4 linked regions of the Rattus norvegicus genome follow. The protein of the gene in region 2 purifies or fractionates together with the protein of the main gene of each other region. This does not show direct contact. Links are inferred from orthologs where the notes say so. Each region holds a gene or a part of one and is shown on either strand. Other genes may lie near its edges.

The links.
Region 1: the proteins of Ogt (region 2) and Cxxc1 purify together in Homo sapiens (affinity purification with mass spectrometry; 3 studies listed by BioGRID and IntAct, with this or other methods). This does not show direct contact. The link is inferred for Rattus norvegicus from reciprocal best matches to the Homo sapiens genes OGT and CXXC1.
Region 3: the proteins of Ogt (region 2) and Dido1 purify together in Homo sapiens (affinity purification with mass spectrometry; 3 studies listed by BioGRID and IntAct, with this or other methods). This does not show direct contact. The link is inferred for Rattus norvegicus from reciprocal best matches to the Homo sapiens genes OGT and DIDO1.
Region 4: the proteins of Ogt (region 2) and Sin3a purify together in Homo sapiens (affinity purification with western blotting; 4 studies listed by BioGRID, with this or other methods). This does not show direct contact. The link is inferred for Rattus norvegicus from reciprocal best matches to the Homo sapiens genes OGT and SIN3A.

What each region holds. Positions count from the first base shown.
Region 1 is NC_086036.1:70,085,542-70,093,413, reverse strand, and holds the start of Cxxc1 (CXXC-type zinc finger protein 1), read right to left. Parts: upstream 4,689-7,872; 5' UTR 4,636-4,688; coding exon 4,633-4,635; intron 3,971-4,632; coding exon 3,852-3,970; intron 3,750-3,851; coding exon 3,649-3,749; intron 3,359-3,648; coding exon 3,123-3,358; intron 3,035-3,122; coding exon 2,840-3,034; intron 2,486-2,839; coding exon 2,459-2,485; intron 2,383-2,458; coding exon 2,140-2,382; intron 1,987-2,139; coding exon 1,879-1,986; coding exon of another isoform or gene 1,867-1,878; intron 1,731-1,866; coding exon 1,546-1,730; intron 1,276-1,545; coding exon 1,068-1,275; intron 993-1,067; coding exon 882-992; intron 761-881; coding exon 711-760; intron 583-710; coding exon 486-582; coding exon of another isoform or gene 280-485; coding exon 127-279; intron 50-126; coding exon 1-49. UniProt on the Homo sapiens protein: Transcriptional activator that exhibits a unique DNA binding specificity for CpG unmethylated motifs with a preference for CpGG.
Region 2 is NC_086039.1:70,834,191-70,841,399, forward strand, and holds part of Ogt (UDP-N-acetylglucosamine--peptide N-acetylglucosaminyltransferase 110 kDa subunit), read left to right. Parts: intron 1-707; coding exon 708-903; intron 904-1,156; coding exon 1,157-1,297; intron 1,298-1,913; coding exon 1,914-2,014; intron 2,015-4,253; coding exon 4,254-4,407; intron 4,408-4,490; coding exon 4,491-4,592; intron 4,593-4,988; coding exon 4,989-5,168; intron 5,169-6,396; coding exon 6,397-6,555; intron 6,556-6,649; coding exon 6,650-6,739; intron 6,740-7,209. UniProt on the Homo sapiens protein: Catalyzes the transfer of a single N-acetylglucosamine from UDP-GlcNAc to a serine or threonine residue in cytoplasmic and nuclear proteins resulting in their modification with a beta-linked N-acetylglucosamine (O-GlcNAc).
Region 3 is NC_086021.1:188,190,779-188,198,787, reverse strand, and holds the start of Dido1 (death-inducer obliterator 1), read left to right. Parts: upstream 1-3,964; 5' UTR 3,965-4,066; exon of another isoform or gene 4,067-4,991; intron 4,992-5,001; exon of another isoform or gene 5,002-8,009. UniProt on the Homo sapiens protein: Putative transcription factor, weakly pro-apoptotic when overexpressed. Tumor suppressor. Required for early embryonic stem cell development.
Region 4 is NC_086026.1:66,378,332-66,386,091, reverse strand, and holds the start of Sin3a (paired amphipathic helix protein Sin3a), read right to left. Parts: upstream 4,310-7,760; 5' UTR 4,173-4,309; intron 4,085-4,172; exon of another isoform or gene 3,826-4,084; intron 2,063-3,825; exon of another isoform or gene 1,957-2,062; intron 1-1,956. UniProt on the Homo sapiens protein: Acts as a transcriptional repressor. Corepressor for REST. Interacts with MXI1 to repress MYC responsive genes and antagonize MYC oncogenic activities. Also interacts with MXD1-MAX heterodimers to repress transcription by tethering SIN3A to DNA.

The sequences.
Region 1 (7,872 bases), on a different chromosome or scaffold from region 2:
CTGTGCGAACATTACGTTCCTGCTCAAACAGCTCGTCCAGCTTGTACCACTGCCGAGGAAGTGGAGGGAAGCATGAGAAGCAGCTCCCGGAGCCCGGGACTCTGGTTACCCCAGTGTTAAACCTACCACCCGCACGCGCTCCAAGTCCACTTCTGCTCGCCGAAGCTTCTCCCAGCAGTAATGGCGATTACACTGGCGCTTGGGCAGGCGGCAGAAGTCACCTGTAAGCTCAAAGACATCGCGTACAAGTGGACACCCACAGACCTCATCAGCTGGCACCTGCAGAGACAGCAAGGCAGGTGTGAGCAGGTGAGGGGAGTCAAGAGGAGACAAAAGAGTAGGCGTGGGGGATGGTTAAACAGAAAGGGCGGGAACGGAAGCTGACAGGAAAAGAGAAGGAAGAAAGAAGGGAGGAAAAGAACGAATGGGTGTGAGACGTGAAGCAGGGTAGGACAGGACGCAGGGGGTTTGAGGAAAAACCTTACTTTGGGGTCCCGTGAGTGCTCAGGACATAGCACCTGGAGCCTCTTACAGTATGTTTTGCTCTGAGGATTGTAGACATCACAGAAGAGTCGGGTAGCCCTGTGGGATTAACACAGGATATGGCCTTGAGTAGCTCCAAGAACACGTCAAAGGCCCCAGTTCCACACATAATCCTATTTCCCACCCCACCCTCACCACCCTGCTCCTACTCCACACGGCTTACTCACCCCTCAATGCGTGTGGGGTACATGGACCCAAAGGATGTCTGGCTCTCATACTGGAAGGATGAACACAGATAAAAGGAAGTTGGGTGCCCTCTCATGACACTACCCAAGCAACCAATCTGTCCCTGTGGGCCCATAGATACCCCCGGCCATCCACTCCCTTAGCCTCCTGACCTTAGCATAGCAGCGCTCCATGTGACGCAAGGCAACTCGGGGGTTGATGGGATGCCCACAGGAGACACAGAAGATCTGCAGATCGGTGTCATCGCTGTCATTCTCATTGTTCTGCATAGGTTGAAAGGAAAGATGAGGCCAGGCAGGACGCCATACCGGGTCCTGCCCACTCTACCACGTCTTTACCTCCTCGTCCTCTCGCACAGCTTGCTGCTTAGCACGAAGGATGATGGCCTCAAGCTCGTGGAATCTGCGCTCCATTTCCTGAAGGCGGGTGCGGGCACTCTGCTGCTCACGGCGGATCCGTTCAAGGAGCTTCTTGCCGTGCTCTTCGGCGATGCAGGGGCTTTGCTGCCATTGCTGGATTCGCTGGGGGAGGATCTCATAGATTCGGCTGCAGGGAGACAGTGAGGTGCAGGCAGAGAGGCACCAGAAGCAGTGAGTGAGCTGACCAAGGGACAGTGAATGATGGGTCACTCAAACAGGTTCAAGGTTGAGTGACTGGGGGGGTGGGAAGTGGGGTGGGGACTGCATAGTGGCTTCGTGTGCCCATGGGGTTTTGATTGAACAGTACCTAGACAACTAACTGTAGGTATACGGAGGGAAGTCTGGCCGTCCCCTACTCTGTACTTCCTGACCCCTCAGTGCCCCAGGGAAGACTCACTTGGCTGCCAGCTTCATGCCACAGTCATCTGAACAATACTTGGACCCAGGCTGGGCGGCGCGCACACAGCCAGGTCCCAGGCACTGCGGTAGAGATGCAGGGTCCTTGGCATCGGCCCTCTCTGGGTGTTTCCACTTGTCTTTATGTTTCTGCTTCTGTCGGTGCCGTTTGTATCTCTCCTCCTTCTAAAGGGCAAGCCACGTCATGTCAGGCTTCCACAGAGGTCAGCCTCAGACCTTGTCTGCCTCTCCAAGGCTCCAGATGTCTGGCTGTCTCCACCTCCCTCCCCGCGCCATCCTCTTCCTTTAATGCCCATTTTACCCTCTCCATCACCTTCTTCTCAGACTTCTTCTCTCGACGCTTCACATGCTTCACTTTTACTGCCCGCTTCCTCAGTGCAGGATCCAGGAACGGGGACTCTTCTGCGTCACTCATCCATGGCTGCAAGCAGGGCATGCGCTGACCCACCTGATGACTCGTTACCACACCTGCTGCTCATTTCCCAAGCAGCCTGTTCGCCCTCTGGCCCCCTCCCCATTCTACGACTTCACCTTTTCCCCTTCCTCCCCACCACAGGATGACCATGTTACTCACTACGTGATCATCAAAGGCCCCAGCACAGAAATCCTGGTACAGATCAGGGTCCAGTGCTAGGTCCTCATCTGAGAGTGGCTCAGGTGTTGCTGTAGCCTCTGGTGGCTCCTTAACCACTGATGACAACACTGTCCCCTCATCTTCACGGATACGCCCCAGCTTCTGGGATTGCTGTGGCTGCTGTTGAGTGGGTGGTGGCCGGCGGGGCCTTGGCAGGGCCTCTGAGGGTGTCACCGGCGAGAGCTGCGGGGCAGAATCTCAGGACTGGCCCTGACCGCCCTGCCCGCAGCCCTGCCCCGCCCTGGGGGGCTGGACTCACCGAGGAAGGGAAGTACTTGTACGATTCCTGTGCGCAGGAGGAAGGCCTAGGTCAGCCCCAGGAAAATAAAGGTCTTCCCTGTCCTAACCCCATTTACTTACCCTGGCCTTGCCTGGTCTAACAAATGCAGTTTTCCCCTCCCCTCACCACAGATATACTCCATCCTACCCCATGTGTCCTGGCATGCTTGACAACCTAAAGCTATCATCCCCCCCACCCTACCCCCAGCTTTCCCCTGAACTTGCTAGGCCCCTCCCACATGTCTGAACATAACCAAGCTCCACCCCACCTGTACTTTCTTATTTGTAGCTCAAGCAGCCCTACTTGAGCCTCCCAGCCATGCTCTCCTATCTGATCTTGCCCAGCTCTGCCCATGCTCACCCGTGCCCGCAGCTGACACTGGCGAAGCCGGCACTTCTGCCGGATCTTGTTGGGGCCCCCAAACTTCTTCATGTCACGACAGAAGTCACAGTGGCCACAGTCCTCAGTGCGTCGGCATGCCTCACACTCACCACACATCCGAGCTGACCGTTTGATTTGCTGCTGCTGCTGCTGCTGCTGCTGTTGCTGGTGATGCTAGGAGACAGTATCCAGGGTAGAGATGAGGATATAGATGAGGCCCAAAGCAGAACTTTCACCCACCCCGAGCACTGTGGCTACTCACCTGGCTAGGTGTGGCCACCAAGGGCTGTGGAGAAGATTTGTGGGGCGAAGCAGAGCCCCGAGCAAGCATGGCCCCAACCCCTGTCCCTGACCCTGCCCGGCGCTGCAGTTCTGGATCTGAAGCAGGCCTCTTGCGCCCTCCTCCCTCATCCCGGGGCTCACTGCCGTCCCGCTCACTGCCATCCCTCTCCCGGCACTTTTTGTGGCGGTAACGAATCTCCAGCTTCGGGTCCTTCTCTGTGAGGCAAAGAGTGGAGCCAAGGTGGGTTTGGAGGAGAGGTTTGAATGGTCCCAGAACCTCTTTCTCTTTTCCTGCCCCACCTACTTGTCCAGCTCACGCTATGGGAGAGCTGCCCCTTCCTTTGGGTTCTTCCACAATTGCTCACATTGGAGCTGGCCTTCCAATTCACCACAGACCAACGATCACTCTGGCCACACAGGACACCATTATCACCCAGGATCCCTCCCATTACAGCTCCTTCATCTCTTGGAGTCCACCTCCTTCACTGCCCATGCACAAGCCTCACCTCGGCACTCGCGACAGTACCATTCCCGGATGGCCTTGGCCATCTTCTCGGTGATGCGGATGCAGTCCCCATGAAACCACTCGTTGCAGTTGTCACATCCACTGCATAGAATAGAGCAAGTGGTGGAGATGTGAGGGGTGGGTCCGCTTCACCGGGTTCCCGCCCCTGCCAGGCATCAGCCCACCTGCTTCTCCCAAACTCACATCATGAAGCAATTGATGTCCGGTTTGCGACAGATGCAGTAGATGGGGGCGTTCTCCCCATTCTCAGACTTGCTGTCCTCCCCAGCATCTGGAGGTTCCAGGTCTGAGCCATCTCCTTCCTGTGAGACCCACCCCCATGATGGCTCCTTAATTCCCTCTTCACAGCTCCACCGTGGATAGCCACAAATTCCAACTGTGTCTTCGGACTTCCCGTTAGCCTTTCCGTTATAGTTCACCCAGACCCTCCTCACCTAGTCCTGGGCCTCATTACTTTGTGTTCTACTTCCCCATCACTCAGACCTCCCATCACACTGTCAAGCATCCTGTCACTCTGACTGCTCATCGCATACACTCAACCAAACTGTCCCATTCAAGAGTTCTACACGGAGAGCACTTAAATTTATTCTGCTGTCGTCCCATCCCGACTTCCCACAAGTGTCTATAACTTAGCTCGTGGACCCCACCCCCAATGCCGGTTCTCCAGAGCCTGTGCAAATACATTCATGGCCAAGTCCTTATCTCTCTGACGAAGGTACTTCGCGTGAAGGTTTCCCACAAAACTGCCATCTGGAGTCCCCACTGAACTTCCACTACGGACCCCCTACAACGGTTCATCAAAGAACTCACAGATGGTTCACCTCAAACCTCATCACACCCCTTCACTCACCGGCCCAGAGACTGGGCACACAGCTCGCCAGGAACCCCGTGCGCCTGCCAATAGGCAGCGGTTGCCAACCCCTCCGACCTCTGCCTCTGAACCCCGATCCGACCAGGTACTCACCATATCTCCGCTCACAGAGCACCCTCTCTGGACCCCGCGCAGCAACCCGCGAAGCTGAACAAGCCCCTCGGCCGCGGTAGCAAAGGCACCCGCAACTACTTCCGCCACTGGTCCCGCCTCCGCGGTCCCGCACTCTCACTCCCCACGCCTGGCGCGACCGCTTAGCGGCAAACAAATAGGTCGCCCATCTAGAGCCTCGAATGTCTCCTTGTCGCCGCCATCTTGACCATCCAGTCCGTAAGACAGCGGAGACCATACGTTCCGGGAAGTATGGCTGCGCCTACAGTTCGGGTCGTCCGAGCGCGCCGCCACCTTGTCAGTCAAGTCCGTACGGTGGCCGCCAGAGGGCAATATGGCCGCATTTGCTTCGACGTTGGGACGCAGATGTCGTCAGCTGATTAGCGTCATCAGGCGGGCTCCGTGCGTTCCTAGGCAACAAACAGTAGCTTCCGGATCACGGCTTCCGAAGGGCGTGGCCAACTTGATATTTGACTCCGTACAGTGTCTGCTGCTGCCACAGACTGGTTAATCCTGTTACTGCCTACATGTGTCTCATTCATTCCTGCATCCAATCATTTACCCTTCGATGCTTATCAATGGGAATGCCAGGCCTCCGGAGAGGGAAATAAATGTCGTGCCAGTACCTGGCCCAGTTCTTGCTCCACTTTTATCTGCCTCCCAAATCATGTTTTTTAGCTAGGCCTAGTTTTTTGTTTTGCTTTGTTTTTTTGTTTTGTTTTGGGTTTTTTTTTTGTTTGTTTTTGTTTTTTTGGGACAGAGTCTCTCTAGTCCTAGCTGTGCTTCAACTCACTGTGTACATCAGGCCGTCCTCAAACTCACAGAAATCCACCTGCCTCTCCCTCTCAGGTAGTGGGATTAAAGTCATGAGTGATCACTTCTGACTGAAAAAAAAGTCTTAACTTCTTGAGCATGGTGGCATATGCTGGTAATACCAGCACTGATGGGGCTGGGGTTAAAGGATGCAAATTAACAAGGCTTGCCTAGAGTTGAAGTCCAGCTTGCACAATTTTGAAACCCTATTGGGAGTTTAGGGGCATAGAGAAGGAGACCAATAAATAAATAAATAAATAAATAAATAAATAAATAAATAAATGAAATGAGTGTTAGAAAAGACATTCAGAGCCAGTATTATCACGATATTAATTACATAGCCCTGAAGTGAAAACAGTGCCAAGTACAGTAATTCCCAAGTAAAAGTACGAAGGGCCTTAGTTCGACTCCTAGTATTACAAAAACAAATAATGAAAAGAGTTCTTAGGGCCAGTGAAACAGCTTAGCCAGGAAAGACCCTTGTAGCCCAGCCTGGCAACCTGAGTTCTATTCCCAGAACTTAGACAGGAGGATGGGAGGTGAGGACTGACAACCACAAATGGTTTTTGACTTCCACACTTAAATCAACTGACACCGAAAATAAAAAACATCATTCAGGCCTCGGAACCAACAGGAACAAAGACCTAGTCTGCGTGACAAAACGGAATCAAAGACTAAGTCACTGGTTCCAGGATGGGTCTGGGAAAGTCCCTAAACATACTAACCTTGCTTTTGGCCTCTGTCCTTCTCCTTCTTGCTAACTAGTCTTGTTAACTAACGTGTGTCAACCTGGAATGCGGTTTTTGTGCTTAAAAGACCAACAGTGGTAAGGCCTGGGGCTACATGATTTGGGAAAACCTCTTGCGTCACCACAGTAAACAAAGACTTTCTAGTCAACTTTAAGGTCTATGTATGCTCTCCTGTGAACTTACCATGTGACAGAGGTGGAGGTTTAAAATCATCCTGGGCTAAAGACTCTATCTCAAAAAAGCCTAACAAAACAGACGAAGAAATGGATAAAGTGTGTGTGCTTTGGCATTATTCTGCAGCTTATATAGAAGTAAAGTTGTAGTACATGCCTAATCCCAGAACTCAGGAGGCAGAGGCAGAGGCAGGCAGACACATGTAGAATGAATTCCAGCATAGCTAAGGCTGTACCAAAACCCTGTCTTGAAAGAGAAACTGTCTCAAAAGAGAAACCCTGACTTGAAAGAGTGACCCTGTCCTGGGGGAGAAAAAAGAGAATTATTTGTTTGTAATTTTTTTTAAAAGTCTGTGTGTCTAGTCATTCCTGTCATATGCACGCAGTGCCCTTGGAGGCCAGAAGAGGGAGTAGGAGTCCCCTGAAGCTGGATTTACAGTGTTGTGAGCTGCTCGATGTGGGTTCTGGGAACTGAACTTAATCCTTCACGGCATGGCCACATCTCAGTACCTAATCTGGACAACTAAAATTGGTATCTCCTGGCAACTCTTCTCAGCCCTTCTTACTATGGGCTTGGATGAGCTCTTTTCTGTGTACCATTGTGTGAGACACTGACTTTTACGCTGACAGAACATTTTCAAATGACATTCTAAATAAAACTGCAGCAAATGTTAACATAGCTTCGTACTTATCCCTGACTTGACAATCCCCTTAAAGGTTGTGAAGTTAAAAGGAAAAAATGATAAAAAGGAAAACTTGGAGAAACTTTGTAGACGAACTCGCTTTCAGTTGTTTGCTCTTGAAAGGGTCCAGGATTCACTGAAGAGTAGTGATACCCTACACTCAATTAGGATGCAAGCAAAGAGCACTTATTCTGCAGAAATCCAGCCTGCAGGGGTCCACCAACCATCAGAACTGAAGACCAGGGTGAGCTTCACAGGAATAATTTAAAGCAGATTGGAGGAACTCCAGGGTGGGGGTAAATGGATCTTTAACTTGATTAGTTGGCCATCTCTAGGGTCGTCTCTGGGATTGGCTAGGGTTTTGGAAACTTTGCAGAATCTTTACTGGGGGGCCTGGAAACTGTTGCTGACTGACTGTTCTTGCCTTGGCCAGGTGGCAGGGCAGCTTCTGATTGGCTGCCTTCGGGTGTGGTTTTTTCCAGCAGTTTGTTTTGCTTCCTTTGAGGTTCTATTTTACAAGTTTACCTGTGAGGATGGAGAAGTGGCTCGGCAGCTATGACTGCTTCTTAGTCTTACACAGGACTCCAGTTGGGTTCCCGGCACCGGCTACGTCACAAGCCAGGTTCTAAGATGGCTTACCCTTGAATGGCTATCAGACCTAGGGCTGGTGGCCATGAAAGTTAACACACAGCCTTTCTCAGAAACCTGTGTCTTAGGATTTCTATCATTGCAATGAAATACCATGACCAAAAAGCAAGTTGGTGAAGAAACAGTCTATTCAACTTATGCGCTGTAGTCCACTGT
Region 2 (7,209 bases):
TGGAGCAAGACTCTCTCAAGAAAACATACTGGGCTTGGATGTTCTAGCTTACACCTGTAATACCAGCCCTTGAGAGGCCAGGGGAGAAGGGCTTGCACAGAGCTGGAGGTCAGCTAAAGCTGCAGAGTAAAATCTTAGCTCAAAACAAAACAAAAAAACCCCATATATCCCAAAATAAAAATGCAGGGCCGGGGTTGGGGATTTAGCTCAGTGGTAGAGCGCTTAGGCAAGCGCAAGGCCCTGGGTTCGGTCCCCAGCTCCGAAAAAAAAGAAAAGGGAAAAAAAAAAAAAAGAAAAAAATGCAGGGCCAACAATTTTCCTCAGTGGTAGAGTCCTTGTTTAGCATGCATGAGGCCCTAAGCTCAGTTCTTAGCACCAAAAAAAAAAAAATACATTTTATTAAAAATGAGATTTCGATATTCAATAAAATATCAAGTTGTCATTAGTTAAAATTAATTCACATTTCATTTAATAAAATCTCCATTAAGGTTAAGGGCGAGATGGCTCAGTGAGTGAAAGTATAAGCAGATGACCTGAATTTGATCCCTGGAACCCACAATGGGAGGAGAGAACCAACTTTACAAAGCTGTCTTCTGGCTTCTACACGTGTACTGTGGTCTATGCCGACCTGTATACATGTCATAAACACTAATAATAATATGTTTAATTAGTTGCATTTTGTGTATGTGTTTTTGTTTTTCTCACAGAGCTGTGGCAGCTTATCTTCGTGCCTTAAGTTTGAGCCCAAATCATGCGGTGGTACACGGCAACCTGGCTTGTGTGTACTATGAGCAAGGCCTTATAGACCTGGCCATTGATACCTACAGGCGAGCTATAGAACTGCAGCCTCATTTCCCTGATGCATACTGCAACCTAGCAAATGCTCTCAAAGAGAAGGGCAGTGTAAGGATTTTGTCTTATTTCTTTGTTACGTGGTAGAAAAGAAGAGTCTTCATTGTACATATTAAGTATTGAGATTGTTATATTGGTTTCCTTTCGAGTTTTGGTTGCTGGGAAGGAGGATATTGAAAAGTGTCCATTTTCCAGTGTGTTACCAGCCATTAGACTCAATGATGCAGTTACTTGAATTACTAGAATAGCAGCGGTCTCCCTGATTCTTTTGTGTAGTTTCTGAATGGTTTGTTTTATTTTCCAGGTTGCTGAAGCAGAAGATTGTTATAACACAGCTCTTCGTCTGTGTCCTACCCATGCAGACTCTTTGAATAACCTTGCCAACATCAAACGGGAACAGGGCAATATTGAAGAGGCAGTTCGCCTGTATCGCAAAGCATTAGAGGTATGTTCAGTGCTGTGACTGGAGGGTCTAGCCTAGCCTATGGGACAGTAAAGGGAAAGCAGTTTAGTTTGCCTGCCATTCATTCACCTCTGGGTTTATTTATTTTATTTTATTTTTGGTTTTGATTTTTGAGACAGGGTTTTTCTGTGTAGCCCTGGCTGTTCTGGAACTTACTGTGTAGGCCAGGCTGGCCTCGAACCCAGAGAGTCCCAAGTGTTGGGATTAAAGGTTCAGCTGCCGTTCACCTCTTTAAGAGGGTCATTCACTATTGATATAAGGTCCTATGACATGCAAGATATTGACTAGTAAGCTTAGTAATAGCTTCACTGTAAAGCTATTACAGTGAAGAACTCAGGCCTGTGTGGTTAGTAGGAGTTTAGAAAAGAAGTGGCATTACTCAGCATGATTACAGGAAGAGAAGCACACCTCCTGTTTCAAATGAAGATAGGTATGAAATGGAGGGAGCAGTAGAATTTGAGCTATTAGACCTGAAGACTGGGTAAACTTGGAAGGGGTGGCGAGAAGCCTAGGTGTACACAGTGATGGTCTCAGAGCTGTGGGAGGTACTTTGGAGAGTCTTTCTGCTATTTAATGTCAGCTGTTATCGGAACTCTAGGTCTTCCCAGAGTTTGCTGCTGCACATTCCAATTTAGCAAGTGTACTGCAACAGCAGGGCAAGCTGCAGGAAGCACTGATGCACTATAAGGAAGCCATAAGGTAAGAAACCCATAGCTTCTTTTTTCTGTTTTCATTTTTGAGATTATAATTACATCATTTTTTCTTTCCTGTCTCTCTAAAACTGTCCCATAAACCATACCTCCTTGCTCTCAAATCCATGGACACATTTTTTGTGAATTGTTGTAACACACATAATATGTATATATATATATTTATATGCTTATGTATTTCTACATACAACTTTCACAACCTGTATAATGTTACTGTGTATATTTTCAGGGCTGACCATTTGGTATTGGATAACCAATTGGTGTGCTTTTCCCTACAGAAGGCTTACTCTTACTTAGATGCCTGTATATCTTTGCATAGGATTGAAGCCTGATGGGTTTTCTCCCATTCACTTCAGCATCTCTTTGTTTTTTCTTTTTTGAGACAAGGTTTCTCTAAGTAGCCATGGCTGTCTTGGAACTCACTCTGTAGACCAGGTTGACCTGGAACTCAAGAGATCTACCTGCCCCTGCCTCTCAAAATTCTGGGATAAAGTTGTGTGCTATCAGCACCTGGCATCTATTTTTTAAAGGCGTGGCATAGTGGTATATGCTTTAATCCCAGCACTCAGGAGCTTAGGTAGATGGATCTCTGTGAGTTTGAGGCCAGCCTAATCTGCATAGCAAGAGCTAGGCCAGCCAGGGCTACATTGGAAAACCTTGTGTAAAACAAAAATTTGGGGCTGGAGAGATGGCTCGGGGATTAAGAATACTGGCTGCTCTTTGAGAGTGTATAGGTTCATTTCCCAGCACCGGGTGGTAGCTCGCAACCATCTGAAAATCTAATACCAGGAACTCTAATGACCTCTTCTGACTTTAAAGGGCACCGGGCTTGTGCATGTTACATAACCATACATGTGGGCAAAACATCCACACACATAAAATAATAAAATAATTTAAAAGTTAACTATTTTAAGCTTTTTATGAGACAGGGTTTCATTATGTACCCTGTCTCATAAAATTATGAACATGAAACAATCATGAATTATGTTCATGTTTGTTTTGGAACTCACTATATCAGGCTGGCTTTGAACTCATTGAAATCTACTCTACCTACCTCTGCCTCCCATGTCCTGGATTTAAAGGCATGTGCTACCATACCTGACTTACATATTTTAAACTTAAAAATCATTAAAAATATTCATCTGTATATGGATATGTGCAGTACATGTAGGTCCCCACAGAGGCCAGAAGAGGGAGGAGTGTGTTAGATCTCCTAGAGTTGAGAGTAAGGCAGTTGTGAACTGCCCCATGTAGTTGCTGGGAATTGAACCCAGGTTGTCTGGAAGAGCAGTCAGTACTGAGCCACCTCTCTCAGCCCCTTGTTATTTGTTTATTCATTTAGTTACTTATATTTATTTTTAGTTTTTTTTCCCCTGAGACAAGGCCTCTCATGATTGTCCTGGAACTCCATGTGCATCAGGCTGGCCTAGAACTCACAGATGCCCCTGCCTTTGCCTCCCATGTATTGGAGTTAAAGGCATGTATAATGTCCTGCTTTACTTTTTAATAATCATATTTCATTTATTTCATGTGTGTGGAGAAATGTGGGCATACACTACAGTGCCCATGTGGAGGTCAGAGGATAACTGTTTTATCTTTTCATATATGTTCTGTGGTTGAACTCATGTTATCAAGCTTGATTGTAGCCATCAAGTTACCTGCTAAACCATCTCACTAACCTTTTAAAATTACTGCTTTTTTTTTTTAAAAAAAAATGTGTTTTTATCAGTATCCCTGGCTGTTCTGAACTTGCACTGTAGAGCAGGCTGGCCTCAAACTCACAGAGATTTGCCTACTTCTGCCTTCCAAGTGCTGGGAACACACCCAGCTTATTATTGTCATATTATAAAAGATTAATTTGCTTTTAAGTATATGTATTATCTATGTATAAAATGTCCTTAAGTTCCAGAAGTGGGTGCTTTATCCCCCTAGAGCTGGACATTGATGCTGGGAACAAAATTCAGGCTCTGCAACAGCAAGAACTATAATTGCTGAGCCCTAATTATTATATAATTTATTGTTATTATTTAATAATTTATTACTATCTAATAATTAAAGGTTTGGCATTTGGTAGGTGCTAAAATGACTCTTTCTCCCTCTTTGGTGCTGGGGATTCAAACTAGGCTTCATGCTTGGTAGGCAAGCACCTAATCACATGCCAAACCCCCCGAGTGCTTTATATAACAAGATTTTACATGAGATAATCAAGCTTTTGTCTTCTCCTTCAGAATCAGTCCTACATTTGCTGATGCTTATTCCAATATGGGAAACACTTTAAAGGAGATGCAGGATGTTCAGGGAGCTTTGCAGTGTTATACTCGTGCCATCCAGATTAATCCTGCCTTCGCAGATGCACACAGCAATCTGGCTTCCATTCACAAGGTACTGCTGGTATTTAAAGACGGGGTACCTTAGCACTGAAGTATCATTGTAGGAAACTCCTCACAAGTTTGTTTTCTTTCCAGGATTCAGGGAATATTCCAGAAGCAATAGCTTCTTACCGCACAGCTCTGAAACTTAAGCCTGACTTTCCTGATGCTTATTGTAACTTGGCTCATTGCCTACAGGTAAAGAATAATGGTTCAATGTTTTTCTTTCTGTATTGTTACCACTTTTTAATTGTGTTCCGTGATAATCTAAGCCTGCTTAGAGAAAAGAGACAGTATTTTTATTTTATTTTTATTTTTCTTTATTTTTATATTTTTGGGCAAGTAGCAATCATAGGGCAGTTTTCAGGAGCCATTTCTTTTAGCATTGGACTCCAGTTGTCTGGCATGCATTGTCTGGCATGCATCGTCTGGCATGCATCGTCTGGCATGCAAAGGCAAGCACCTATACTCACTGAGCTAGCCCCAAGACTGTGCTTTTAGGCGGTTATCTAATATTACTTTAGGAGCTCAAATACTTGTAAAATAAATCTTTGGTTAAGTTTTTGGGTGATCATTTCTTCTTGCTTCCTCTAGATTGTCTGTGATTGGACAGACTATGATGAGCGGATGAAGAAATTGGTTAGTATTGTAGCTGAGCAGCTAGAGAAGAATAGGCTGCCTTCTGTCCATCCTCATCACAGCATGCTGTACCCTCTTTCCCATGGCTTCAGGAAGGCCATTGCAGAGAGGCATGGGAATCTCTGCTTGGATAAGGTGACTCTCGTTTTAGTCTTTTTGTTGTAAACTGAAATGCATATAGAGAAAAACATTGTATAAATCAAATGTATGACTTTACCAACTAGAAATGAAACTGACTTAGCTACCCTAGAAGCCACACTTACTTCACTGTGGCCTATGGCCTGACTTGAGCTCATTTCTTCATTTCTGATGGTGGTAGTTTTTTTTAAGGTGGAAATCTAGACTAGGCATGGTGATACAAACATATAATCCCAGTACTAATGTAATTCAACACTTAGAGGCAGAGGATGGTGAATTGAGGCCAGCCTAGGCTACATAGCAAGCTCTTACCTCAAAACCACAAACAAGCAAAAGCTCCCATCTGAAAAGCAAACTAAAGGCAATAACAACAAAAGCCCCACATGATGTTTAAATTGAGCGTGTAGTATTATATACTCTGAGAATTAGAACACGACTTGGTAAGGTTTAGAATCCTCCTCCAGGAAACAGTGATAGATCTAAAGTTCTCCCTCCCTCCTTCCCTCCCTCCCTCTCTCCTTCTCCCCCTCTCTACTCCCTCTTTCCTTCCTATCATTTTTCCCCAAAATGCTATCCATAGAAGTTTCTAAAATTCTGTAAGGGTTATCATACTCCATTCATATTTCTTCGTTCCTAGAAATTTTAGATGTGTTCAGACTGTTTCATAGGTTTTTTGTGTTTTTTTTTGGTTTTTTTGGTTCTTTTTTTCGGAGCTGGGGACTGAACCCAGGGCCTTGCGCTTCCTAGGCAAGCGCTCTACCACTGAGCTAAATCCCCAACCCCTGTTTCATAGGTTTTCTATATCCTAGCTAGGTTCACTCTAAGCTCTATACAGCTGAGGATCACACTGAACCTCAGATCCTTTGTCTCCACATCACAATGACAGGGTCCCAGGGGTGCACCAACATGTCCTTTTTTGTTGTTGTTGTTTTGTCTCACTACATCACACTGGATGGCTGCAACCCAGTGTGTAGACTCAAAGCTCCATGTGTCTTAGTCTCCTGAGGGTTGGGATTAAAGATGGGCACCACATGCCTGGTTTTTATGTAGTTCTGGGAATAGAACTCTTAGCTTTATATGAGCTAGGCAAATCATGCTATCAACTGAGCTTCATTGCCAGTCCCGGTTTTCTGTTTTCCGTTTTTTTTTTTTTTTTTTTTTTTTTTTTAGATTAAAATTTACACATTACTTGATTTTCCTAATGAACATTGTATTCTGCTGGTAGATTAATGTCCTTCATAAACCACCATATGAGCATCCAAAAGACTTGAAGCTCAGTGATGGCCGATTGCGTGTAGGCTATGTGAGTTCTGACTTTGGGAATCATCCTACTTCACACCTTATGCAGTCTATTCCAGGCATGCACAACCCTGATAAGTTTGAGGTAAGAATAATTTTTTGGTGGCTTTTACTCCATCATTATTTGAGAAGGTTGGAGCAAAGGTTATTGAGTACATTGTCCCTTCCCTGCCTTTCAGGTATTCTGCTATGCCTTGAGCCCGGATGACGGTACAAACTTCCGAGTGAAGGTGATGGCGGAAGCCAATCACTTCATTGATCTTTCTCAGGTGAAAATCTGATCCTTCCATTTGTTTCTAAAAGATTTTATAGTTAATTATGTTTATGTGTTTGTGTATGTGCATATGCACGTATGAGGGCAGGTGCCCAAGGAGGCCAGAAAGGGGTGTCAGATCTCTCAAACTTGGACTTACAGGGGGTTACATAGGTGCTGAGAGCAAATGTAGGTCCTCCATAAGTATAGCAAGCACCTTTAAGTCTCTAATTTTAAATTTTTAAGCCAATTTAAAGTAATAAAAATAAAAACTATGGATACAAGCTGGGATTTTTTTTTTGTGATGGGTATTAAACAGGAGGATTATACAGGAACTACTGTATATGGGCAGTTGGCCTTTATTTCCTTGGTCATTTACATTTATAATTGATAGGACTTTTGCTGATGTTGCACATAAAATGGAAATGTGATATAATCGTGTTTGATGTATAACTGTTTTTACATTGAGCCTGCACTCAGGACAGA
Region 3 (8,009 bases), on a different chromosome or scaffold from region 2:
GTCAGTTAATAAAAGTACATTCTAGGTACTTCATATGGCTGTTACTAGGGAATAAATGAGTGCATGTGCCAAGGCCCTTCTCCAGTGTGAATACCAGCAAAGGAGGGAGTCGATAGCTCATTTGTGGTTTTTCTTTGTGTGTGGGTGAGTATACACCCAGGAATGCATAAAGGCCAGAGGAGATGGCCTGTGTTCTCTTGGCTCTGCCTTATTTCTTCAGGACAAGGTCTCACTCACTGAACTATAAACTAAGCCAGTAGCCAGCAAGCTCCAGCAATCCTGTCTTGCCTGTCACCACCATCCACAGCACTGAGGTTATAGGCATGAACTTGTACCTGTCCCTACTTGAGTGTCAAATGCTCTTACCCACTGAGCTCCATCCCCATGAGCCAATTTTTGTTTTAGGCTTTGAAATGCATTTGAGTTTGGGGTACACGTGGGAATGTTCCAGGGACCAGGTGAAAGGGTAGATCCAGTTGAGTAGAGGTGGGTTTCCACAGTATGTGTGGAATAGACAGGACGGTGGGGTAGAATGATGGCCGATGTACAGTGGCATCAAGGACTTAAGAGTAGAAAATAGGTGGGCATGTCCTGGGACAGTTGCCAAGGTGACAGGAATGTCAGCCTGGTGCATTCATTAACTAGCTAAGCTTCCTGTGTGCAATAGGTGGACCTGGGGAAGAGAAGTCATAAAAATGTGACCGAGGTAGGAGAGGTACCACTGTTCTGCAAACCAAGGCAGAAATTTGAAGTTGTTTCAGTGTGAAAGAGTAGCAGCTCTCAAGCCTGGCTGTAGTGATACACGCCTTTTATCTCGGCACTTGGGATGCAAAGGCTGATCTTTTGAGTTTAAGGACAGCCAGGGCTACACAGAAACCCTGGTTTTGTATTTGGGGGTAGGGATAGATAGCAGTTCCCTGAGAGAGAGAGATAGCACAACGGGTAAGAAGTATATGTGCTTGCTCCACCATGGCCTAATGACCTGTGTAGTAGACCCTGGGAGCCATGTAAAGGAAGGCAGAAAAGACGCCACCACGCCTACTTTGGTAATGTGCACACCACATTAATAAGAGAGAGAACATCATCAAGGGGCTGAAGTGATAGCTCAGTGGTAGAGAGAGCACTTACACAGCACAAACACACGATAATGGAGTCAACCCTCAGCACTGAATAATCAAATAGCATGGAGTTTTATAAAAGGGAAAAGCATTCTGAGGATAAAATACAAAATGCTTCCATTAGGTAAATAACCAGGGGGGCTGGGGATTTAGCTCAGTGGTAGAGCGCTTACCTAGGAAGCGCAAGGCCCTGGGTTCCGTCCCCAGCTCCGAAAAAAAGAACCAAAACAAAAAACAAACAAACAAACAAACAAAAAAAAAACAGGTACCAAGATGCCAGCTGCGTTTTGTAGAATAACTTTTTTTTTTCTTGGAGCTGAGGACCGAACCCAGGGCCTTGCTCTACCACTGAGCTAAATCCCCAACCCCGTAGAATAACTCTTACCCTCTTGAGACTGGGTCTTCTTCAGCTGGTAGACCAAGCTGTCTTTGAACCACAGAGACCAGCCTGCTGCTTTCCCAGTTCTGGAATTAAATCCAGAACTACATCGTTTCCATGGATGCTTTCCTTTACTTCCCCCCTCCCCCCAAAGTAAGCCCTTGGATTCTTTAATCCTTGGCTTCTGTTGAAGAGAGCTGCAAAAGAGCTACACATTTGTATCGCTTCCCCCTTTTTCTATAAATCCTGACATCTTAGCTGTAGGGGTATTACAGTGGTTAAAAGCCCTTGTTGCAGGGGATCCAAGTTCAATTACCAGCCCATACGGTGGTCACAGTCACCCCAAACTCCGAATTCCAGGGAATCTGACTCCCCTTTCTGACTTATGTGGGGGCCCTAGGCATAGCACATGGTTGGACATTCATACATGCAGGCAGAACACTTGGGAAATAAACCAGAAAAAGAAGGATCATTGACCTTTTTTTTTTTTTTAAACTTATTTTATGTATGAGTACACTATAGCTCTTTTCATGAACACCAGAAGAAAACATCAGATCCCACTACAGATGGTTGTGGGTTGTGGTTGCTGGGAATTGAACTCAGGACCTCTGGAAGAGCAGCCAGTGCTCTTAATTGCTGAGCCATCTCTCCAGCCCTGACCTCTATAGGCAGGTTTGCACAGATTCTGTTCTGTGGACCGGACAATTTGTGACATAAGCCCTCTTTGTTGTTACTTTTTTTTCTTCTTTTTCTTTGAGACGGGTCTCAGTGTTTCCCTGGCTGTCTTGACTGGTTTTTGTACTTTTTTATGTCTTAAGAGAGTGTTTCACTCTGTAGCCAAGGTTGTCCTGGAGTTCACAGGTCTTCTTGCTTCAGCATCCTCAGTGCTTGCAATACAGATGTCACTACACCTGGTTACAAAGTCTATGAATTGTTTTCTTGGCTCTTTTCTGTGCTGCCAGTACCTTGTGCTCTCTGTACTGTGATGGTCGGTGTTGGATCTCAGCTGTGTACAGATGTACCACTGCCAGATAAAGATCTGCTGCAAATTGGAATCTGCTGTTCTTACAGTGAAATCAAAGACAGATGCTTTACTCTATTCCACTTCATACAAAGTTGCTGATTTGTTTGTTATAGGATTCTTCAGTGCTGTGCACATTTTATCTAAAGTTAGCTGTTAAGATCACTCCATACCTAGCATGTCCCTAGAGTGGCTCCTGGTTCAATCTCCAGCACTGTACATAATAAAATGAACTAGAAGTTAAATGTTGGGTTTTAGTTTTTTTATATTTAAATTTTTTAAATTTAATGTGTATGAGTGTTCTGCATCTATTATGTGTACATACAATGGGTGCCGGGTGCCTGGTGTCCAAGGAGGCCAGAAGAGGGCACTGAATCCCCGGAACCGGAGTTTTTTGTCTCTTTGTGGATGCTGGGAACATAACTCAAGGGCAGAGTTGAGGAATCAGGGTAGGCTCCTTGACAAGAATCAGAAAGGTGGTATTGAAGGATCTCACCAAGGGAAGCAGACGCAGCCTCCTATTGTACTGGAAGCCCCACGAGCTGGCATGTAATCTTGGGACATGTTAGAAAGAAAACTACTCAAGACCTGGACTTCTGAATGGAGCATTAAAGGCCTCTACAGTGTGAGAGAGGGCTTACTAGACTGGAGCACATGTTCGTTCTTCCAGGAAGCCGAAGTTAGGACATAAGTCTGGCTTCCAAGCCTTGTGTCTGTGCATACATAAATAAGCTGGTTGTATGGGGCAAAGCTGAGCGCCTACCCGGTGTTAACTGCTCTCTGGGCAAAGTGGCTAGTGTTCACAGTACTGTAAGAGAGTAAAGGCCTCTCTCCGGTTTCCTTAAGTAATTTGGGGGACAGTGAAGGAATGTCACTGTAGTAAGCGCTAGAGGGGGGGGGGGATATCCTTAAATGCCTTCGTGAGGAGGCTGGGGGTTAGGGGGTCCGGCCCTCGTAGGCACGTATGCCAAGGCATTGGCTCCTGACTCCTGGTTGGTATTTAGGAAGAAATGGACGGGGCAAGGGTGTTTCTAGCAAGGAGTAAAGCAGAGTTAAGTCCCAGGGAATTCCTGTTGGGCGGATGCCCTTCCCGGCCCCGCATACTCCCTGCAATAGGCCAAGAGCTGCGCGGCCCGCAAAGGGACTTTGGAGTTTTCCTGGCTCCTTCCCACCGGAGTCTGACGCTGGTTTACCACGAAGCACCAGTCCCCGTAGGCGCAGAGGGTTTCTAAAGCTTTTGGAATACTGGGCAGAGTGCTGTTCCAGGATAGCTCGAGGAATCTCTTCATGGCATTGGCTCCTAGCTTAGCCCCTTGGTTCGGGAATCTGTCAAGCGTGCCCAGCCGATTAGGCTGGCGCTCCGAGGAGCCCCGGTGGCGCATGCGTGTAAGAAGGGCGGCACGGCCGCTCTAGCCTCACCACGTCTCGGTGGCCGGTTGATTTCTTCCGCTTGCCGCGCGGCCCACCGCTCTAGGACGGTAGTCTCGCTGGTCTCCGCTCTAGATCAGTGGTAGGTCTGGAAATGGCTGCGGGATCCCTGCGGCCGGGGTAAGTGGCTCTGTGCAGCGAAGGAGGGCGGGAGCCGTGTGGACCTGAACGGCATTTAGGATCGGGGCAAGGCGGAGCGACGCCATGCCGGCAGCCTAATCCTGGCGAGCGGTGCAATGGCGCCGAGAAAATGGCGTCGCGGTCCGTGAGGCCCTTTCCGGCCCCGGGCCGAGGGATCGCGGAGGAGCGCGTGAGGCCGGGCGGGCGGGCGGCCTGCCTGCGTCTGGTTTCTGTCTAATCACTGGTTGGCTTGTGTAGTCCAGGCTGGTCTGGGTCTGGGAGGCTGTGGAGCCCTTGATTGTGATTCGGGGTTAGGGGCCCAGCCAGCCTCTCGCGGCCGCAGGTCCTCAACACTGGTAGAACACTCGTGGTAGGACGCGATCGGGCCTAGGCGCGAATTCGCGGGAGTAGGAGCAGATATCTCTTGGGGGTGGGGGGAGGCTTCGGGGAAGACCAAGGCCCAGCCCCTCGTAGGGCCTGGGCGTTGCCTGGGCTTTCATTGCCTCTTGCCAATGTTGGTGGCCAGGTGTGGGTTAATGTAGATTGATCTCAGCAGTAACTCTTGAGTAAGAGGCCCTGGGTTTGATTTGGAATGTTGTGTATATTTGATTTTCCACAAAAGGATGTTCCTTGTTACACTTGATTAAGTGGAGTGAGTTTGTCTGTCGGGCAAACTCAGTTGTGTACAGATGAGAAACAGCACACAAAAAAGGTTGTGTAATTGATGACCCCCTGCCAGCACTCATGACCGGCACTTTTCCTCCTGGCACTCAGTGCAAGTGTAGCATCACAATAGCTTGCTGAGAACGTGTGCTAGGGAACCTGAGGAAAGCTCAGGTAGGTCTTGAAGGCGAGATGGGATGTCTTCCTATCTTTTGTCGTTCGCAGAAGTTTTCTATTGTCAGAAAAGCTCTCTGGACCTCTGGTAGGTATTGCCTCAATAGGCTAAAGAGTCTTAATTCAGTTGGTGCTGAGCACCTCAAGAATGATTTCTCTTCAGCATGTGGGTACTGTGCCAGGCCTTACACTTCTGTCAGCATGGCATGTTTTACCATGTTACACATTTGTCCTGTGAGACTAGGTGACTTCTGTTTGGCCCCAGAAGAGTAAAGATTCCACTGTTTCATGTTGCTCTTAGATCCCTGCATAGTGAACCCATGTTGTAGGAACTGTTTCTTATGCTCAAGTCCTAACTAAGAAATTGCCCCTAAATAGAGTTTTCCTTAGGTCTTAGGTGACTGGGTCTTTATAGAAACTCACCAATAGTCTCTAAGGTTGTGTTGATTCGGTTACAAAGGTTGTGTGATTTGCAGCCAGTGATAGTGTGCTCTTTGGAAAGAGGAGGTCAAAGCCCAAAGTCTGAGGTGTGCTCATTTGTTCTGAGTGTGCAGGCTCATCTGTGAGACAGACAAGGCTTTAGTTTATTTTCTGAGCAGTCATTTTGAGAAGTTCATAAGGGAACATGAGTAGGCAGTTGACATACTTTTTAAGAATAATTCTAGAGGTTGGAGAGATGGCTCAGCTGTTAGGAGTTCCTGTTTTCTTTTCTACAAAACCAGAACTTGGTTCCCAAGCATCTGGAGGGCTCACAACCATGTCTAATTCCAGCTCTGGGAAGTCCTATGCCTTCTTCCGCATCTTTGGGCACCTGCACACAGGTGGCAGACACATTTTTTTTTTTAAGATTTATTCATTTATTATATATAAGTACACTGTAGCTGTCTTCAGATACACCAGAAGAGGGCATCAGATCTCTTTACAGATGGTTGTGAGCCACCGTGTGGTTGCTAGGAATTGAACTCAGGACCTCTGGAAGAGTAGTTGGGTGCTCTTAACCGCTGAGCCATCTCTCCAGCCCAGCAGACAAATTTAAAAATAAGTAATTTTATCCTTGTGTCTATACAGTTTATCCCTAGATGTTACCTGACTGTTGGGAATAGAAAGTGCAGGTTATTTAGGACAGGAGCAAGAGTTGGGAGACTATATCCAGAGAGCCTTCCCCTGAGAAGCCTGATAGGCACTGTCAAGGATTTGGTAAATTGTAGCTTAAACACATGTGTTTGGGTTTGAAATAGCCTTGTTGCCTGTTTATATTGTGTTGATATTGAGGAAGTACTGGGGATTGTTGCTCCTCTAACTGCCTTGAAAGGAATTCAGCTGAGCTGCAGTAGATAATACAGGAAGCTCTGCTAGAGCTCATTGTTGACCTCATTATCCTGCGCCCACACCACAACCAAAGGGAAAAACGCCCATGTATTGTCTCCACCAATCCTTGAGATGGACAGGAAGGCTCCAGCTAAAACACAGCTCCTTACTACAAATGTTAGAGATGGAAAGGAAGGTTTCAGCTGAAAAGTTTCTTGGGCTTTGACCTGAACTTAGGAACTTACAGCCTCCTCAGCATAATGGCTGAACCTGAATGAGGAGGGAAAGGAGTGGGATCGGATTGGGTCTACTCATGGCCCTTGTGAATCTTAGCTAGATAGAAAGGGTGCTTTACACAGACAGATAGCAATTATGGGGGCTTTGTGCTCAGTCCCCACACCAGTGATTCTCAAACCAAACTCCAAGGTCTTTATACTAAAGCCTTCCTGGTGACACTAAAGAGCCTTTGTTAATACTGATTGATTTTACATTTTTATTCATTATAAAACACTTTTATTTAAACTCCAAAGTCTACGACAACTTAATGAAAAAAAGCAATGTTTATGCTTTTGTAATCTGTTTATTTCCCAGTGACTGTTTTCTTCCATCTGTTTCTGCTTCAAGTGTCACATCACTGTCATTTAGCCCCTAAAAAGTGTGACTTTTCAGTGGTAAGAAAGGGGCATCTGATACTTAAGCGCTGTGCAGCTAGCTCTGTCTATCCAACTATCCTTTTTTTTTTTTTTTTTTTTTTTTTTTGGTTCTTTTTTTCGGAGCTGGGGACCGAACCCAGGGCCTTGCGCTTCCTAGGTAAGCGCTCTACCACTGAGCTAAATCCCCAGCCCCAACTATCCTTTTTTTTTTAAAGATTTATTTATTTCATGTATGAGAATACACTGTGGCTATCTTCAGACACAGCAGAAGAGGTCATCGGATCCCATTACAGATGGTTGTGAGCCACCATGTGGTTGCTGGGAATTGAACTGAGAACCTCTGGAAGAGGAGTCAGTGCTCTTAACCTCTGAGCCATCTGTCCAGCCCCCAACTATCCATCCATTTTTATCATTGACTGTTCATAACGATTAAAAGTTCTCTTTTTGTTTTTGTCTTTTTGCAACAGGGTCTTGCTATATGTCTCTGGCTGTTGTGTTAGTCACTCTGTTGACCAGGCCAGCCTACCTCTGCCTCCCGAGTGCTGGGATTAACAACAAGCACCACAAGGCCTGGCCTTAAGAGTGCCCTTATTGCTGGGCACGGTGGCACATGTCTTTAGTCCCAGCACTCGGGAGGCAGAGGTAGGTGTATCTGTTTGAGTTCCAGGATGGCCAGGGCTACACAGAGAAACTGTGCCCTGACACTCCCCACCCCACCCCCAAAAAAGGAGTGCTCTTATTGTTGAAATGAGTTGGAAGAATACTTGACTCTAAACACCTAGAGAACAGATCACCTTTACACTATGAGACGGTGTCTTTGAGCTATTTTTATTGGTGTGCCCAGGTTCTTGCCTTTGAGGAAAAGTATAGAACAAGAAATGATTTTCTTGTGATATTAAAGATGCTGTTTTATTCTATTTGTACTCTGAGATGTGAGTTAGGATCTGCCAATGCCGTGATGCTTAGAAAAGTGGCACAATCAGCTAGATGTATCTGCAGAGGACAGGCACCAAGACTGTGCTTGACCGGCTCTTGGCATTTACTATAGGATATAATGTGCTTTCATTGTACCCAGCAGGACTTAAGATAGTAATGCCTACATAATCTGGGGCATAAGTATGTGGAAATAAACATGAGCTTCACAT
Region 4 (7,760 bases), on a different chromosome or scaffold from region 2:
GCTGAGCACAGGGATTTTGGCACACTAGGCAAGCACTTTTAAAAATGAGCTCATGGGGTTGGGCATTTAGCTCAGTGGTAGAGCGCTTGCCTAGCAAGCGCAAGGCCCTGGGTTCGGTCCCCAGCTCCAAAAAAAAAAAAAAAGAAAAGGAAAAAAAAGAGCTCACACCCCTCTCACTAATTTTTTTAAGTACAAACTTTTGTTTTGATTAAAATGTATACATATATTTTACACACACAGACACACACTACTCCATCATAAACCAGAGATGGCTTTAAACAGTTGAGGACACTGGAGACAGACTACCTGGATTCAGATCCCTGTTTGATCACCTATGTAGACTAAACCTCTGTGTACTACTTTCCTCAGTCACTCATTCTGTGTTCCTGAGGCAGTGTGTTGTGTAGCCCAGGCTGAGCCAAACTCCCAAAGTAGCCAAGATGCCTTGAACATCTATCTTCCTGTATCTAGCTCCCAAGTGCTGGGATTACAGACATATTACTGTATATGTGTATATGTATCTATGTGGTCTCTCATAGAGAGGCCCACCTTTGAACCCCTCCAGGGATCAAATTCAGTTCTTCAAGCTCTAGGAACAAGTGCTGTGCCTACTAAACCATTCTGCTGTCCCTAGTTAAGTCTGTATTTGTGCATAAGCAAGCCAGGTCAACCTCAGCCATCACCCCTAAAGTCCATTTTTCAAACATGTTCCTTTACTGGCCAGGAATTGGCTCAAGTAGGCTAGCACCAGGGGATCCCCGATGATCTACTGCTCCTAGTGTTAAGAGTTCAGGCCAGGCTACCACACACTTAGATTTCCATGGGCCAGCTTTTCAAGTATCTCTCAAAAATAGGACAAGTCTTCTTGCTTCAGTGGCATTTTTACTGACAGGTATTTCCCTGGCCCCTCACCTTGTTGTTTTTGAAATATTTAGTTATTATTGTTAGGAAGGTTGCACAGATATGATAGTCAGAGGACAATGTTCAGGAGTTAGCTGTCTCCTTCCACAGTGGATTCCTGGGATCTAACTTAGTCTTAAAGAATTTGCATGGTAAATGTCTTTACCCACTGAAGCCACCTTCACTTGTAAAACATGCATTTCAAAACAGAGATGTAACCCTAGCTGAGGCAAAAGCAAGAAAATCACTGAGTTCTAGGCAGGCTGAGCTCCAGAGCGGGTTCAGATAAATGAGTGGCCCATTTCACCAGTCCACAACTCAAAGCAGCCATGCGTGCACATACAATTAAACACATTAGCAAATGATCAGAATCGGAGTTCAATAAATATAAACCCTTATTACAAGAGGGATGCTATTGTTTAAAAAAGCAAGTACTATCTTTTTAAAAGAAGAATCAAAAGATATAAGTCCATACACTTTTAGTTGGGGAAAAAAACCACTAGATTACTGAAGGTCATGAACACAACCTCTGAATTCTGAGTAAATTTCCCCCTACAGCTACCCTGGATAGCCTTTCAGGATATTGGCTGCACTGTCAAGATGGCTGTGCTTTGCCAGGAATCTAATTAATACCGATCTCAAGTCTTAAAAAAAAGAAGAAAAAAAAACTTCTTTATGCGAACTATTAAGGCCTGAATTTAAAAGTATTAACATTTTTCAAAGCTATATTTCTGTTTTTTTCACACGTGTATAGATATATGGGTATGCACCTGTGTCTGGGTGCCTAGGGGCCAGAGGTGTCAGTACTTGGAGCTCCAGATACATGTTGACATGGGTGCTAAAAACTGAACTCAGGTTCTCTTAGATACTAGTAAGTAAAAATAAACATATAGTACTGATGGATGGAAATGTAAAAATAGAAAAAACAAAAACAAAAGCAAACAAATATAACTAGGTTCTTGAATTTTTAAAGCCTAGGACTTGTGACTCCAGCACACAATCTAGAATACACATTCTATAAGAGTACGAATTATGCCCAGCAGTGGCGGCACATGCCTTTAATCCCAGCGTTTGGGGGGCAGACAGATCTCTTGAATTTGAGTCCAGCCTGGTCTAGAGGGTGAGCTCCAGGACACCCAGGGCTACAGTTAAACTCTTGTTTCTAAAAACAAAACAAGAAAAACAAAAAAGATATGAATTAGGTCATCTGTATTTCCCAGACTGTGCTTCAAATGGTAGAATTAACTGAGGTTAGGCAAACTTTCCTCAAAGGCTAAGCATTCTCTACTACCGTTTTCAATGTGCTACATCTGTAAGACACCCAAGTTCTTATCTTTTGGCCTCCACCTCAATTCTGTTACTACTGCTGTTGTCACTTTTTTAGCTGAAAAGTGAATATTTAACCTCTTCATTATGTACGGCACAGGGCATGGTTTTCAGCCTCTACTGAACAAAGGACAAATCCAGAATTTAGCTTCAGAAATTACATATAAACGATGGGGTTAGAGACGGCTCAATACAGACTGCAGACTGCTCGTGCAAAAGGACCTAAGTTGGGTTCCCAGAACCCATGTCGGGTGGCTCATAACCACCTGTTAACTCCACCTACAGGGGATCTAACATCCTATTCTGGCCTTACACACGCACGCACACTTTAATATAAATCTTTTTTAAAAGTGGTTTATACATACTCATTCAGACATCAATACATAAATTAAGGATTCAGTGTTTACTTTTCATAAAAAGTTCTCTAAATAAGATCAGCTAACACCAACCCACCTAATAAGGTTACCTGTGCAATAAATCCACAATGGCCAAAGTAACACAGGTTGGGAGGTCATGCTACACATAGGTTTCATAAGGTTCAACCTACTTAGCATCTAAAAAGATCTTTAAGGACTAACAATTACATAAAACTAAAAGAGAACACAAAATTTTAAGTTACCTTTGTGCAGCTAAGCTTATATAACAAAACCTTCTGTAGGTTAAAAAAAAATCAAGAAATCAAAGTATTTTACTTAAATTAAAAAGAAAAATTCTGACTAGAGGAAAAAAAATCAGCCCTGGGGTATAACCTAGTGGTGAAGCAATACTTATGTGCCTTAAATAAACTCCGACACACACAATCATCTTCAAATATCATCTCTGCCAAAGACCAGTTTTAAGATTAAGAAGTAAATTCAATCCTTTCTCTAGAAATACAGTCTCAGCTTTATAAGGAGCTGGAACGGCAAACTGAGTTTAAAGTCCTGAGGTACCAAAAATGGTAGCAAATTTTAGCTATCTACCCATGGGTGCACAGCTTAGCTCTGTTAAGGCACAGTAGCTGAACACCAAGGGAACTCTAGGAAAGGTTGGCGCCCTCCAGAATCTCAGTCTCTGAGTACGCTGCCCCTCCCCCACCGGCCACTGGCGGGGAAGCATGGGCCCAGCACCAGCCGCACCCCACCGCAGACACTCCAGAGAGGACGCTGAGTTTCTCGTCCCAATAATTACAACTAAGAGGAGCAGCTGACCACGCTTCTACTCTCCATAGCTTTTAAGGCGCCATTCACGATGCGTGAAGCAAAGTAGAGACTACAGCTCCGGGCCACGATGCCCCAAGCAGAATGGATGGAGAAGCCACAGCAGAAAGTCGGGACACCTCCACCGCTCCCAGTCTACAAGCGGCCTTCCCACCTACAGGGACGCAGGGCGGGGCAGACACGGAACCCTGACCCCTGCCAGACGCTACAGCGGGCTTTCCCCAGCTATGCTTCACAGCTAAGGAGGCGGAAATCCCGGCGGGGGCGGGGCGGGAGGGGCGTGGCATCACAGCCCCGGACGCGCCTTCCGGCCAACCGGATCCCGCTAAGGCGGGGGAACACAGGCTTCACGCCCCCTCGCCGCCGCGCCCTAAAAGCCACACGCCGGGACCCTCTTCTCGTCCCGCACACCCCGCGGACCCAAAGCAGTACAACCCGTGTCCCCGCCCACAAGGGGAGAAGGGGCGGGGCCACGGCCGCGGGCCTTTAGTCCCAGCCCGCCCCGCCCCTTTCTCCACCACCGCACGCGCGCCGGCCCCGCCTCTGATCGGCGGGACTAGGGCCCGCCCCTCCGTGCGCACCGGGACTACGCTCTCCTCCCCCTCCCGCACTGAGTGCGGCTCCGCTCCGCCCCCCACAGCCACGCACGGGAAGCCGAGGTCAGCCCCCCCGAAAAACACACGCCCTCCAGTCCCGGGTTACCCGCCACCCAGCTGCTGGGCAGACCGCGACGCGGCGTGCTCTCACCGCAAAAGCTCCAGCCACTCAGCCTGCGCGTCGCTCCCGGCGTGAGCCTCGCACCCAGCACGGAGGCCCCGGAACGGCGCGGGCACAGGCCCGCAAGAGCGGACTGGCAACCTCCTTTGCGCCTACGAAGCGGTCACAGGCCTGGGTGTCCAGACTGGGAAGGAGGGAGGGAGGGAGGGAAACTCTAAGGGGGGAAGGGGAGGGGGGAAGATGGAGAAACCGTCTCTGCCGCCTCTACCGCCGCGGCCGCTTCTCTGTTACCCGGGAAATCCCGCCCACTCTCCCGGCCCGCCCCGCCGAGGGAAGGCTTAACCTCGCTCCGCCACGGGATATATTACCCATCCGTCAATGGTTTAGCCAATCACCGTGCCGCAAAGGCCTATTCCCGCCCTCTTCCCTCGCTGGGAGGGGAGAGCAAGCCGCTCACCTTCTCCACGCCCCTATTGGCGGGGAGAGTCCCTAACTCAACCCCGCCTATTGGAGACTGATTGCCGAATCCCTCCTCCAGGCTCCAATACTATTGGAGGAAGAAGGGTACCTCGTCACATCTCATTGGAGAGTCTCACATATCCCTCCCCATACCGCCCCAGCCACAGGCCTAACAAATCGGCTCCCGCCTCCGCCGGTTCCCGCATTGGAAGACTACCTTTGCTTCTCTCATAGCCCTAGGAAGGTAAGTAACCAATGTGGGGTAAAAATGTCCTTAAGTGAGGCCGACTCCACCCACTACACTGCTGGGCCAGGCTCCGCCCCCAAAGATCTGATTGGACTATCTTGGCGCCGGTAGGAGCCGCCATTGGACACGGCGCCGGTCCAGGAAGGAGACCATTCCGCCCTGCGCGAGGATGCTGAACCTTAGCAGTCCTTTTGTGGAATGTTTACACTGGAGACTGAAGCTCAGCGTTCCAAGGCCGGGACCGGAGATGGCGCGCAGCGCAGCGGTCGAAACCGGAGGCTTTGAGATTTGAAAAGGAAAAGGCAGTAGTATTACCACCATTGGAGGATTAACCAAAACAATGACAGAAAGCCTCGTCCTTCCTACCCACTTATTTTTACACTTTCACGGTCTTCTAAACACAGCCATCTGGAGCACTCAGCAGCTACTTTCAGCAAGCCGACTCCAAAATTAATGTCTGGAGCTCTAATCTGATACAAAAAACCCAGATATTACTAGCCAGTCGCCAGAGCCGGCTGCATACTGTGACACTGGGACAACCAGAATCCGCAGCCCTCAGGGGGCGGAGATAACCCAGCGGAGGCCTTTAAATGTCACCGCCTGGGCAAGCCTCCGGAAGGCGGAGCATGAGAGAAAAAAAAATGTATTCCAGGTCGGCCGGGTAGATCCAGGGACATTTTAAACTGGAGGAAGGGATGCAGAAAAGCTCACACAGACCACTGTATAAATAAACCTTGAGTGTGCATTCACATTCAGATAACGAGTAAAAATTCCAGATTGTGTGAAGGATATGGTCTTAAAAACGACTGTTCAAAGGGAAGAGCCTGTAATCGCAACTATCCTCGATAGGGCAGGAATAGTGTCTCCTAGGCCAGCCCCTTCAAAAAAAAAATGTGAGGGGTATCCATGGCCTCCTTGGCAGAATGAGTTAATGGCGGTCTCTAAGCCTTCTTGGTAGGTAACAATGCCTAAACATATAAAGTGCTTTGAGATACCTAATTCCTTTCATTTATTCACTAATAAGGCGTAGGACCGATGCCGACCTTGCTTTGGGGAGCCTTTTGCTGCGCCGTGTGAGGTTAGGCGGGGTTAGTCTTCCCGCGCTCTAGAGCAAAGGGAAAAAAATCCTCCCTAGAGTCGAATGTCCCCAAGAGATACAACACCGGGAACCGTTTCGTAAATCCAGTGCTGCTCTCCTGTAATCCTACGGAGACAGCCATAAACAAGTGTTGGCAACAGGTGGGTCTCAGTCCTAGGATGGCTTCACGCCGTGAGGCCATAGTAAAGAGTTGTGAACTCCAAGAGTGGCCGACAGGTGGGAGCAGCCACACCGGTCAGCCACACCGGTAACAAGCCAAGCCCTGTTCCAGGACAGGGCTTTAAAAATAAGAAAAAACAAAACAAACAAAAAAAAAAACAGCTAAATCGTCCCAGGCTGAAGTAGCACTCCAAAACTGACAGATGCCTATCCTTAACTGAACTGCCTTACCCACCAGACGGGGTACCTACCACATAATGTACAGCACTCCCACCATGGTATCAACGAATACCCCCGAATCCTTGCTAGAAACAGGCCTCCCGGACTTCCCTTGACTGCAGAGACCGAGGTTTCGTAGATCTTGCCTAAGGTTCCATCTCTAGGTTGTCATAATCTTAGATTCCGCCGACTAAGGATCACGATTGCCTTGCACAAGGAATTAAGGATGCGGCCAACATCCAAGCTTTCTCAAACTTAAATTTAAGGAAGTCAAGGGGCATAGAGAAAGGCAGCAAAAGTTGACCGGGAGGAGGTTAGAACTCATTCCCTCCCCTCCGTGCAGCAGCCCGGGAGCTACACTTTCTGGAGCAACAGCGCAATTGTGGAGCTTCACCTCGAGGGCTAGCAGATCTTTAGACTCGGAAGAATCTTTGTGTGCCTCCAAGGCTTTCCCCGCCCCCCTAAATAAGGGCGCGGAGCCTGAGACTTCCGGGCGGGAGGGAAGTTGATGGGAGCTAGAAGGGCCTCAACCATGTGCCGAGCGCGCTCATGAGAAAGGGGGGGAGGGAGCCGGAGGACGTCCCCTCCTAGCTTGTCCCAGAAGGGGAAGGCCTATCCAATTGGCCAATCAAAAGCAGGGGCGGGGGCTTGTACCTCAAGTAAGCCCCAGGAATCCTCCCTCCGCCCTTCGAAGAAAAAAAATTTTTAGCAACTTAAACTCCAGTCCAACCTCCGGATAGGCGGAGCTCTAAAGAATATCATCCAATGCATACACAAGAAGGGAAAGAGGGACTCGAATTTAACCAGTGAAAGACAAGAGAAGGCGGAGCCTCTGGAGAGCCCGAAGTGGGTGGAAGAGGAAATGTCCCCGCCCCTCTCGGGTCCCCTCCAGGCCGGTTGCACAAGCTCCCTGCAGGAGATAGTAAACAGTCTTGGCCAGGCTACGGAGGCAGAGATGGCCGCGCACTTGGAGGACTGGCCCTGAGCCTCCCCTCCCCGCCAGCACCGCCACTGCCCGCAATTTGCTTCGGCGCCCCGCCTCTCCGCCCGCAGCCGCCATCCGGCTGACAGGCGCGCCCCTCCCCGCCCGCTGATGCATTTCCTTTTCCCTATTCCAAGCGTGGAGTCTGTTTTCCCAGTTTCCGACCTTCACTGCCCCTTTCAGGCCACCCCCTCGTGAGCGCGCGCGCATACAAGGCTGCCCCCACCCCGTACGCGGCCCAGTGGCACGCAGCGGCACCTCGCGGAAGAGGGAGCCCCGGCTGCACACTACTCAGGGCGGGAGGGGAGGGAGGGGGAGCAGTAGCCGCCGCCGTGAGGTGGGCGGGGAAGGAGGCAGCTCCATGTTTGCGAGGGGATCAGCTGGGGCCGCGAATTGAATCTGCCGAGTTCCTAGAGCTTTTCCTACACTCAGCAAGCGCTCCACGTCAGATCG